Linked DNA regions of Caenorhabditis elegans. The protein of the gene in region 1 purifies or fractionates together with the protein of each later gene. This does not show direct contact. Each region holds a gene or a part of one and is shown in the gene's direction. Other genes may lie near its edges.

What was found.
Region 2: the proteins of teg-4 (region 1) and sar-1 fractionate together in Caenorhabditis elegans (co-fractionation; one large-scale study listed by BioGRID). This does not show direct contact.
Region 3: the proteins of teg-4 (region 1) and snr-7 fractionate together in Caenorhabditis elegans (co-fractionation; one large-scale study listed by BioGRID). This does not show direct contact.

The regions. Positions count from the first base shown.
Region 1 is NC_003279.8:6,812,703-6,817,580, forward strand, and holds the start of teg-4 (Splicing factor 3B subunit 3), read left to right. Parts: upstream 1-1,808; 5' UTR 1,809-1,827; coding exon 1,828-1,914; intron 1,915-1,960; coding exon 1,961-2,029; intron 2,030-2,081; coding exon 2,082-2,240; intron 2,241-2,285; coding exon 2,286-2,543; intron 2,544-2,855; coding exon 2,856-3,110; intron 3,111-3,179; coding exon 3,180-3,421; intron 3,422-3,500; coding exon 3,501-3,663; intron 3,664-4,005; coding exon 4,006-4,174; intron 4,175-4,232; coding exon 4,233-4,384; intron 4,385-4,427; coding exon 4,428-4,583; intron 4,584-4,635; coding exon 4,636-4,878. Other genes in the region: ulp-5 (Ubiquitin-like protease family profile domain-containing protein), read left to right, coding at 1-47, 96-262, 312-405, 472-578, 693-884, 928-1,032, 1,081-1,186, 1,232-1,348.
Region 2 is NC_003282.8:4,511,247-4,515,117, reverse strand, and holds sar-1 (Small COPII coat GTPase SAR1), read left to right. Parts: upstream 1-1,798; 5' UTR 1,799-1,805; coding exon 1,806-1,851; intron 1,852-1,896; coding exon 1,897-2,016; intron 2,017-2,214; coding exon 2,215-2,280; intron 2,281-2,331; coding exon 2,332-2,568; intron 2,569-2,627; coding exon 2,628-2,740; 3' UTR 2,741-3,225; downstream 3,226-3,871. Other genes in the region: ZK180.8 (uncharacterized protein), read left to right, coding at 3,535-3,678; rfth-1 (Man(5)GlcNAc(2)-PP-dolichol translocation protein RFT1), read left to right, coding at 3,818-3,859. UniProt on the Caenorhabditis elegans protein: Small GTPase that cycles between an active GTP-bound and an inactive GDP-bound state and mainly functions in vesicle-mediated endoplasmic reticulum (ER) to Golgi transport.
Region 3 is NC_003279.8:2,724,967-2,728,028, forward strand, and holds snr-7 (putative small nuclear ribonucleoprotein G), read left to right. Parts: upstream 1-2,047; 5' UTR 2,048-2,051; coding exon 2,052-2,180; intron 2,181-2,233; coding exon 2,234-2,338; 3' UTR 2,339-2,416; downstream 2,417-3,062. Other genes in the region: Y71F9B.6 (Cyclin N-terminal domain-containing protein), read right to left, coding at 261-435, 792-941, 1,020-1,104, 1,173-1,300, 1,352-1,509, 1,563-1,685. UniProt on the Caenorhabditis elegans protein: Plays a role in pre-mRNA splicing as a core component of the spliceosomal U1, U2, U4 and U5 small nuclear ribonucleoproteins (snRNPs), the building blocks of the spliceosome.

The DNA.
Region 1 (4,878 bases):
TGCCTCATCCTAAGCTCACTCCAAAATGCGAAGCACCCCCCGAAAAGGTGAGAACACAAAATTATCCTTAAAATTCAGATTTGTATAATTCTCAGAGACTTGCACATTTGGAGATTAGATTCAAAGATCGCAGACATATCATTCCTCCATTATTTCATAATGGCTGGGTGGGACGAAATGAAGATCGAACTTTACTCAACGACACAATCATTGAATTTTATATGTGTGATTGGATGCGTTTGGAAGTGTTCGATGAGGCTACGTAAGATATGAAAAACATTTTTATGAAATTAATGTTTTCATAATTACAGAAGAGCCAGTAGTCACGTCTTTCATTCATTCTTCTTACCGAAAATAAAGACTTGTTTTAAAGATTTTAAGGAGAATCCGCCACGGAGATCAGAGGTTTGTAGATATTTCAAAGATTGAAAAACTTCAATGGCGATTTCATCAAATGATATGACATTTCAGCTCGCCAACCACTATAACAGATTCTTCCGCAGCAAAAATGATGCCGAAACGTTTCTCAAAAAAGATATTCTGCTAATCCCAGTTCATCTCGACAAACCGAAACATTGGTAAAATATTTTTAACCTTTACAAATCTGAGAAAACTATTCGATATTTAAAAGTTCTAAATTTACTTCAAGTTCCATCTAATTGTTTATTTTTAGAGTTTCAAAGAGTTTGCAGGTTCCTCGTGATTGTGCATAATCCATCAGGCGCGGTTCGTCGAATTTCCGACGTCAATATACTTGACGCGACCAATAAAGTGAAGAGTAGACGATTGTCAAGACGGATAACCGGTCATGTTAATTGTGATGAAAATGCCGGTGAATGTCGAATTATTATCATGGATAGCCTGGTTCATTCAAAAAAATACAGGTAAGCAAATATTTTAAACTGCTATGCATAAAATAAAATTCAGAGAAGTTATTGATAAGACCCATGATTCCACTTTTGATCACATTCGTCTTTGGCTCCTGATGTCCGCAGCTGCAACTGATGTTGATATGTTTTGCACGAGATTCCGGTTAATTGTATTTCTTGATATCCATCATATACCTAATAATAATTTCAGAAAAGTTGTGTGTCAGAAGCTTCCGCAACAAAAAAATTCAGTGGATTGTGGTATCTTTATGATGGCATTCGCAGAGTATTTTACAAAATACAATACTGCGTGGCAGGTACACAATACCAATTGTTTTCAGAAAAATGTTTATTTTTTACAGAGCCTGCCGACAGATGCTCTCGCTGATTTGAAGATGGACGACGATATCAAGTCGTTGTTGAATAGTGAAACGCCACGACAACGTCTTGATGAGCTATTTCAATCACTGAAAGCTTGATTTTTTCTAATAACACTGTAATTTTTCACTCTTTCCTTCCTTCCTTGTGTTGTTTTTGTTCAAATATGATTCGGGAACTTAATATCGAATCATGAAATTTCTGTTTTTGTTCTTTTTTCTGATTTCTGAAAACTAATTGCATGCCAAACTTCTTTTTTTTTCAAATTTTTGCTGTAAAATGAAAATTTTGTTGCCTTTATTCGTTGTATTTAATTAAATACAACATCCCCTGGTAGAAACCGTGCCATGTATCTGCGAAAACGCGCGCCGCACATTGCGGTTCAAGCCACGCCCACTTTTCAAACGGCTCTGCTTTCGAATATTATTTTTAGATCTAATTTTTCTACACTTTTTACGACGGGAAAGGTTGAAATACATGGTTTTCGTATAATTCCAGTCTTGTGAACTTATGTCTCTTCAATATTTGCAACATCTCAATTTTTGTTCCATGAATATATGTGTTTCAGCCGTGTTCCACAATGCACTTGTACAATTTGACACTACAAGGGCAATCGGCCATCAATCAGGCCATTCAGGGCAATTTCTCTGGAACCCCCAAGGCGCAGGTATAAAAGTTAGAGAATTATATGATTGAAAATGTGTTTCTTCCAGGAAATCGTTGTTGGGCGCGGATCAGCACTGGAGTTGCTCACACTGGATACAGTTACAGGCAAAATAAAAGTAAGAAATTGATAAACTTACAGATTTTGATAAACGAGAATTGATTTTTAAGGTTATGTGCCACCAGGACATTTTCGGAATAGTTCGATCGCTTCTCGCTTTCCGTTTGACAGCTGGAACTCGAGATTTCATCGCAGTTGGTTCAGACTCGGGTAGAATTGTGATTTTACAATATAACGCTGAAAAAACATGTTTCGAGCGGCTGCATCAGGTAACCTTCCGCGTGGAAAGCATATATTTTCACTATTTTCTTTAGGAAACTTTCGGAAAAACTGGATGCCGTCGAATCGTTCCAGGCCATTTCTTGGTTGGAGACCCACGTGGACGTGCATTAATGATTGGAGCCGTTGAACGTCAAAAGCTTGTTTATATTATGAATCGAGACTCTGAAGCACATTTAACAATTTCATCGCCACTTGAAGCTCACAAGCATCACACATTGTGTTATGCAATGGTTGGAATCGATGTGGGATTTGAGAATCCTACTTTTGCGTGTCTGGAATTTGATTATGAGGTAATGAAACAAGACAGAATATTTATTTTGAAGACCACTACAATTTTTCGTTTCTATATAATTGTCGAAGAAGGCAACTTTCGTTGTGAAGATTTTGTTCAAAAAGGTTATCTCGTAGATTAGGATAGCAAACCGGACGTTCGATGAAAAAAATCGGGCGTCCAGTTTGCCAGCTCATGCCAGCAATAGACATTATCTCAGTGAAAGGTTCATTGTAATGTCAGATTGATTTGAGAAAAAAGATAATTAGAATTTGAGAGTTTTGTTAATTTTTAATTATGTGAAATCCAATAATCAGCTCTAATTTTCCAGGATGCTGACAACGATCCAACCGGAGAAGCAGCAAAACGAACACAACAAACGTTAACCTTCTACGAGCTTGATTTGGGATTAAATCATGTTGTTCGAAAGTATGCGGAACCTCTAAATGATCCAGGAAACTTGCTTATCGCAGTTCCAGGTGGTAATGACGGTCCGTCTGGTGTCATCGTGTGCTGTGAAAACTATTTGGTGTACAAGAATCTTGGTGATCAACCAGATATTAGATGTCCGATTCCAAGAAGAAGAGTGAGATTTCTTTTCTTTTTCTTTCTGAATTTCTCCCCAAATTATTTTGAATTCAATAATTTTTTACAGAACGAGCTCGATGACGCAGACCGAACAATGCTCATCATTGCGACGGCTACTCATAAAACGAAAAATATGTACTTTTTCCTTGTTCAAGCTGAAAATGGAGATATTTTCAAAGTAACACTGGAAACTGATGAGGATCTTGTGTCGGAGATGAAACTCAAATATTTTGATACTGTACCGCCTGCGAACGCTTTATGTATTCTGAAATCCGGATTCTTGTTCGTGGCTGCAGAGTTCGGAAATCAGTTAGTTTTTTTTTTTAATTTTATTGAAATCTATTGTATATTTTAGTAATCAAACGTTTTACAATTAAATTTATTTCAGTGAGCTCTACCAAATCGCTAGTCTGGGTGAAGGAGATGATGACGAATTTTCATCAGCAATGGGATTCGGAGAAAACGATGCGGCATTCTTTGAGCCACATGAGCTCAAATCTTTGATTCCAATTGATTCAATGGATAGTTTGAGCCCTCTTACAGATGCTGTCGTATGTTTTACGAGTTTTAATGGCGGGTTAAGATTTCAAAAAAAAAACGATCCAAATTTTGCTAAAATCTGAAATTTTGCCAACTTTTTTTTTGTAGAAACTGGAATACGGACACATTTTACTCCGATAGGAATTCAATTTTGTTCCTCTTTAATTTCTAATATGAAAGTATTCGAAAAAAAAACACTTACATTAATTTTTTTTTTTTCATTTTAGCACCAGCATCATGTTTCAAACCCATTTTTAAGTTTAAAAAATGAAAAAGTCAAAATTCTTTAAAAGCTGAAAAATCGGAAAAAAATGATTGTTGAATATCAAAGCTAAAACGAAATGAATTTACAGATTGGAGATATTGCTCGAGAAGATGCAGCACAGATTTACTCACTCGTTGGACGTGGTGCTCGATCTTCTTTGAAAGTTCTTCGAAATGGACTTGAAATTTCTGAAATGGCAGTTTCTGATTTGCCTGGAAATCCGAATGCTGTGTGGACTGTGAAGAAGAATATCGAAGGTTTCATTTAGAATAAAAATTAAAAATCTGACCAATTTCTTAAAATTTAAAATTTCAGACCAATATGACTCATATATTGTTGTTTCCTTTGTCAATGCCACACTTGCACTAACAATTGGAGATACTGTCGAAGAAGCATCAGATTCAGGATTTCTTCCAACTACACCAACTATTGGATGTGCAATGATTGGTGATGATTCTCTTGTTCAGGTATATTCGAAAAGTTTTCTGTTTTAATTATCTTTTTTTTCAGATCTACTCGGAAGGTATTCGTCATATTCGGGCAGATAAGCGTATCAATGAATGGAAGGCACCACCACGGCGACAAATTGTCAAGTGTGCTGTTAATCGACGACAAGTTGCAGTTGCATTGACAGGAGGAGAACTTGTGTATTTCGAATTAGATTTGGTAGAATTTTACAGAAAATAACTTAATTCAAATTAATGATCATTTTTTGCAGAATGGAACATTGAACGAGTTCACGGAACGAAAACTATTCAACGCAGATATTGCATGCATGACGTTCAGTGAGATTTCAGAAGGAGAACTCAATTCTCGTTTTTTGGCACTCGGAACAGTTGATAACGCTGTTAGAATAATTTCTCTCGATCCAAATGATATGCTTATGCCATTGAGTACTCAAAGTCTTCCATGTCCACCAGAATCTATTCTTCTTATTGATACACCGAATGAAGATGGAAAA
Region 2 (3,871 bases), on another chromosome or scaffold:
TATGTCATTTTCGTGAGTAGTAGACAACAATTCACTGACTGAAATTGTCTAATTTCAAATAAAATGGTGATTTTAGAAAGTTTAATTTTTATTTGTTCAGGGAAAACAAGAATCCGGGTCTCGACACGGCCGAAAATTACTGAATCGAAACTGCAGAGATGAGTTTGAAACTGCAGAGATGAGTTATGTGCCTTTAAAAATACAGTAGTTTTCGGATTTTTAATTTTTCCTGTCAAAAAAATATTTTTACAGGTTTTTGAGTTAAAAAAAAACGAAAAAATCGTAATTTTTGAGGCGAAAATACGGTACCCGGTCTCGACATGACTATCTTTGTTAAACACAGAAAGGTGTACTCCTTTAAAGGAGTACTGTAGTTTGAAACTTTTGGTGCAGCGGAATTTTCATCGATTTTTTGCAGTTTTACTCGCGATTTGCTAAATAATATTTATGTGTGTTTTTTTTTATAATTGACCAGCCGGTGTCGTTCGAGCCTACGGCTCGACCTACTCCGACTGGCTTAAAATAAAGTTCGAAAAAAAAAATAAATGAATGAACTTGATTTTTTTTTTGAAAATGAAAACTTTCAAACTAACGTGAATTTTGCGTGTTGGCATAGCCTACATTGGACGGTAGGAAACTCTACTTTATATTTTTTTATAATTGATACACCTATTTTTAAGAAAAATATGAGAAACAATGAAAATTGTGCAACAACAGAAGTTTGAGACTACAGTACTCTTTAAAGGCGCACACCTTTTTGCAATTAACAACAAATTGTCGTGTCGAGACCGGATACCGTATTTTGCCACAAAAATGACAAACCTTCGGGTCGCGGTATTAGTTTCTCCCATGGTATTAAAAATTTCATTTTTCAGTTTCTCAAAAATTGAGCGGATTTAAAATCGAAGAAATATACCGTAGTATTTAAAGGCGCACGCTTTTTTTGAGGCATTAAACAAATTATCTGGCGTGTCGAGACCAAATGTAGCTGAATAAGTTTTACTATTTTATAAATTCAAATTTCAATGAATAATTTCAAAAGAAAAACATTTCCTTCACGTTTTCTTTTTTATCGAGAAAAAACCATGCCATAAAAACTCTTTTCAACATTTAAATTTTTTCGAATCAGTTTCAAAAATCGATTTTTCGAAGTGATCTGAACATTTTTCATTAAAAGGAGTTTTGGCGCGTAAGTTTTATTCTTTAAACTTTTTATTTAAACGAAAATTTAATTTTCCACCGATTATTGTTGAAATTTAGGAGTTTTACATTGTAAATGCCAATTGTCTTTCCATTATGTTTCGTCTCTACTTAAAATTTGTGATATTTGTCGAATTTTGCATGCCTTTAATTGTTATTTAAAGCTTAAGCGTATTTTCTCCATTCCGCACGGAAAGCGCGCCTTTCATCCTTACTGACGCATTTCCCGACGCTGGCGCACTTCTCGACCATCTGCCACTTTGGACACGTCAGCGCTTTCCGGATTCACTTTAAATGAAGCTTTCCTGGTCCCGAATCGCCGATTTTCAGAATTAGAATTTTTTGATTATCACACTGCGTCTCTTTTCTCTTTTCGGGTACACGTGGAAGCGCGTGTCGTTTTGTCTCTGTGTAGCACGCTACACAGAATGTCTCCGCCTCGTTATTTTCTCTCTTTTCCTCTTTTCTCACCCCCATTTAACCACTAAAAGTTCCCACTTTTGATCTATTTCAGTTCATTCATTTATTCTCTAAAAAATGCCTGATTTACCCGATTTTTAAGTGATTTAATTAATAAATTAATTGCATAATTTTCCAGATTCAATATGTCGTTTTTATGGGACTGGTTTAATGGAGTGCTCAACATGCTGGGTTTGTAAAACTGAATTTTACCATCATAAAACCTTTTATTTACAGGATTGGCCAACAAAAAGGGAAAATTGGTATTTTTGGGACTAGACAACGCTGGAAAGACTACACTGCTTCACATGCTTAAAGATGATCGTATTGCTCAACACGTTCCCACTCTTCACCCAAGTAATTATCGCTTTTTATTGATTTTAAAAGCAATTCCGGTGTAGTTCAGCCTGTTAAAGGAAGGAATCTTACTTTAAAAAAATGATATCTTTCTCTTCTTTACAGCTGATTGACCGGTTTTGCTTATCATCTGTCAATTGCTAAAGATGATGACGCAAAAAACTAGTTGTGAGAATTATTGAATTGATTATTTTTCAGCATCTGAGCAAATGTCACTCGGAGGAATTTCGTTTACCACATACGATCTCGGTGGTCACGCGCAAGGTATTCACTCGTTTTTTCGGTTTTTTAAACTAATTTTCTTCATTTTTCCAGCACGACGAGTCTGGAAAGATTACTTCCCTGCCGTGGACGCCGTCGTCTTCTTGATCGATGTGGCCGACGCCGAAAGAATGCAAGAAAGCCGTGTTGAGCTCGAATCGCTGCTCCAGGACGAGCAGATCGCTTCCGTTCCAGTGCTTATTCTCGGAAACAAGATTGACAAGCCAGGAGCATTGAGTGAGGATCAGCTCAAGTGGCAACTCAACATTCAACATATGTGCACCGGAAAGGGTTGGTTTTTGATTGGAAATTATCGCTTGAATTTATTTAAAAAACGAAAATCTTTATAGGAGACGTTTCCCGCAACGAAATGGCTTCTCGGCCGATGGAAGTGTTCATGTGCTCTGTTCTTCAGCGACAAGGATACGGAGAAGGAATCCGTTGGCTTGGACAGTACCTGTAAACAGATCAGTTCTTGAACTCTTCTTCTTCTGCTCACTCCTTTTTTATTCCATTCTCGAAAAAAGCACCATTCTCTTACATATTGCGCCGCCAACATTTCCCATAGATTTGTTGTACGTACTTGTCATTTTCCTTCGTTTTTTCTTTTGGGATCCTTGGGATCCTCATCATTAAACTTCTCATGCCTTCGACGTTTGTGCATAAAAAAGCAAGCCGCAATCCCATTTTATTTTATTTATAAATTTTGACTTATACGGACTTGTAAAAAATTCACGGCGTCCTCATTGTTTTTCTATTCTCCACAAAAATTTATTCAAACCTTTTCCTCATCTATTCCGTATTTATCACATCACTATCATTCAAACATCCCCATTTTTCTTCTCGTCCCACTTCATTTCCCCCTCAGATTTTCTAATTTTTTATTTCGGTTAGTTCTATGTGAATGAAACAGCTTCGGAATGTTGCAGTTCGAAGTTTTCCCAGAAATTATTCTCTTATCACGCTACTCACAAGAAAAAAAACGTCACGCCATATAGTTGTTTTCTTTGTGGCGAGCTTTAACTATAGTTATAACTGAAACTGAAAAACTTGGAATTTGAAAAGAAAATTGTTGATCGGAGTACATTTGATCACAAGGGCCTGTAGTCAGGCGACATGGTCAAACATTCCATTATGTGGTTTGTGTTCCAAGTGGTCAAACGGACACATTTCTATTTCAGGTGCGGAAAAAAAATTAATTTCAGATCAGATAATTGGCTATTTTTCCAGAAGAACCTTTTCGTCGTAGTCTCACAGATGGCTTCTGCAGTACATTTGAGTGCACACAGCTCACTCCAATTCTCTATTCCTCCACTCTCTCGACGCAATGGTGTTCGTGTGCACCCACTACGAATATCCAATAATCAGGGAAGGGAACCTCCTTTATTCATAGAATTTTAAATAAATATTTTGAATTTATCATCATCTATATTTTACTTGTAAACTCTATTAAAATAGTTTTATCGTCAAAATACTTTGAATTCGATAATTTTGCGGGAATTGTTTTTTTCAATTTTCAGATTAAAAAGCGATAAAAACCATGTCATTATTCTCGTCACTTGTTCATAATGTACGGGGGCAGGTAAAAATATAT
Region 3 (3,062 bases), 4.1 Mb from region 1:
TTTTCAAAAATTTTTTATCATGATATTCGGCCATTGTGGCCCCATAGGCATGTTTTAAAGCAATTTCCTCACTGGCGCTACTCCATCTTTAAACAGTACGAAAATCAACGATATAAAGTGAAATAAACGAGCAAAATTTGCAAAAATACGAATTTTCGCCTGCTACGACACGAAAAACTCGGTAAAATTGAAGATTTTAGCTAAAATTCGCCTTTTTTCCGCGGATTTTGAATCTTAAAATTCAAAATTCAAAGCCTCACCCTCCGCTCTTTCCTGGAAATCGAGGCGGGCGACTTGTCGAACAGCGTGAAAAACGGCGAAGGATTCCGCTTTCGGCGAATCTGCCCCAGAATTACTTGATCTTCAGCGTCTCGGAAGACAAATGGCCGCAGCTCTTCTGTTGATAAGTGAGCCTGATGCCGCATGCGATCCGAGCTGGAAAATTGGATTATAAGGTGAAATTATGGGAATTTATCGTATTTTTTCAAGATTTTGACCTAAAGGCGCACGGATTTTTAGCAAATTGCAGCGTTTTTTCTTACTTTCTGCTGAAAATTTGCGTTGTTTTCCTTTTTTTCGGTCTGAAAACTGAAAAATTTAACAAAAAAAACTACCACATGCTGTCTTTTCGCGTCGATGCACAGCTGAATAAACCCATGTGCCTTTAAGATCGCATAGCCGAAATTTCTGAATTCCTGCGCTTTTTTTGTGAAATTTTGTTAGATAATTGCCAGTTTTCGGGGAAAATTAGGTAGAAGATATAAATTATAGAGGAGATGTTAATTCTAAACCTTCCAAAAATCGATTTCGATCGGAATTTCTTCTTATTGACGGTTGTGTTGGCGAAAATCGGCGCCAGCGGATCCACGTAGTCGCTGTTCGGCGAGATATACGAGAAAACTGCCAGAGGCTGGCCATTCGTCGAGGTGCAGATGTAAAATCTGAAAATGTGGGTTAGTTCGCAACACGGAACGGTTAGTGTGGGGGATTTTAGAGGATTTTATGATGGTTGAACTCACCTATCTGCATGGGTAATGGTGCTTTTGAGCCTTCTCAGAAAACTGAACTGATTTGAAGAACAAGATGGTGATTCTGAGCGAAATTCTGTGAAAATTTTGAATTAATTTATTTTATTTCAAGTTTTGTAAGCTTTTATAAGCTCGCCAGCTCACCAATCAGCCCACTATCTTCTCTCCCGACGCCTTCTTCAAGAATCGGAGATCTACTGTTTGTGGCGGTCATTGAATAGATCACGTCGTCGGAGCTCATGATTTTCGCGATTCTTCGGAAGATTGAAGTTCTATAAATAGAGAAAATTAATTAATTATATTGATTTTCAACTAATTTTCACTTTTTCTGTGGTGTCTCCGCGTATTCCTGCGGCAAATTCGACGAGCTTAGCCGTTCTCCGAGTGAAGCGGATGTTCCGAGTGAGATCACTGATTCATTGTTGCGGATGGTGGTTGTGGAGCTTGCGCCGTTTGAAAACTTCTTTTCCGTTGGAGATATCTGAAAAAATTATCAATTAGTTACGAAAATCGCTGAAAAACCAAGATTCTCACCTTCGGAAGGCCTTTTGTTTGGAAAATTCGAAGATTTGTGTCATTGTGGCTTCCATCAACACTGATATTTGATAAGAAATTTTGTGCGACGAGAATATGATAGTTACTCTTCTTTTTTACCATCTAAAATTGGAAAAACGAAAAGAAAAAGCTCGGAAATCCGATAAGAATTGTGTGAGTACGGTGTGCAAGCGTCTGCAACTTGTCGTCATTTATGGTGTACCAAGCGTGGTGTTTGCGTACTATTCGAATTTCGAAAAATAATTTCGTCGATTTTAGCCTTTTTCATCCAATTTTCCTGATAATTATCATGTTTATTCTTTGAAAAATTAGTTAAAAAATGTTATAATTAATGTATTATCTGAATTTTCGATAGGTGGAAGTTGAAAAATGAGCTTTATTTTCTATTTTAAGTAAAATCTGTTTCTTTGATGATTTTTCCATTCTTCATTTTCATTTCCCCCTGCAAATTCTCAATTTTTCAGAAAAATGAGTAAGACACATCCACCAGAGCTCAAAAAGTACATGGACAAGGAGATGGACTTGAAGCTCAACGGAAACCGTCGCGTCTCTGGAATCCTCCGCGGTTTCGATCCATTCATGAACATGGTCATCGACGTATGTTTCTTTTTCCGTTTTTGTCTAATTTATTCTAAAATTTAATATTGCAGGAAGCTGTCGAGTACCAAAAGGACGGAGGATCCGTCAACCTCGGCATGACTGTCATTCGCGGAAACTCCGTCGTCATCATGGAGCCCAAGGAGAGAATCTCCTAGATTTTTCGATCTCCACAATTTCCTGTCACTTTCTCAATGTTTTCATTTTCAAATTTTGATATTAAATTTTTGAACCTTTTTTTTGATAATTTTTGATAACTACGTGGTCAAAACCCACTTCTCATCTCTGATTCACGTGAATTTCGTATAGATAAGAACTTCGCAAATAGAATCAATTCACAAACAAATGTACCAAAAGTTATGTTTTATTATTGCAGGCATAAAAAAAATCAATCGTAAAGCTTTTTTTCAGCATTTTGTTTTTCCACGGCTCAAATTGAACGAAATAGTGTTCATTTTGAAGAGAGGCACGAAACAGAGTAACAAAAACACGGAGAGACTTGTGTATCCCTCTTCTCTTTCCACTATGTGCGGTCGACGACGCTCTCCACATTTTTCTCTCTTTATTCTTCTCGTTACTCTTACTCGGCACAACAGCAGCAAAAAAGAATACTCTTTCCCCACTTCTTATCTCTTTTTCTGCCGACCTATTTTCTTCTTTCAAAACAGAAAAATGTTCCACACACACGCCTATCATCATCCGAAAGCTGTACGAGATGTGCTTTCTCATCTTTCCGTACTCTTGTGGCTGCAGCCGTCGAAGAGTTGAAATATCAATTTTCAAAACGCGGCAGATTCTCAGCCGGAATTCAGTGAATTCGCTTGATTTCTCGCCAAAATATAGAAATCAGACGATTTATCTGAAAATAACACCCATTTCAGT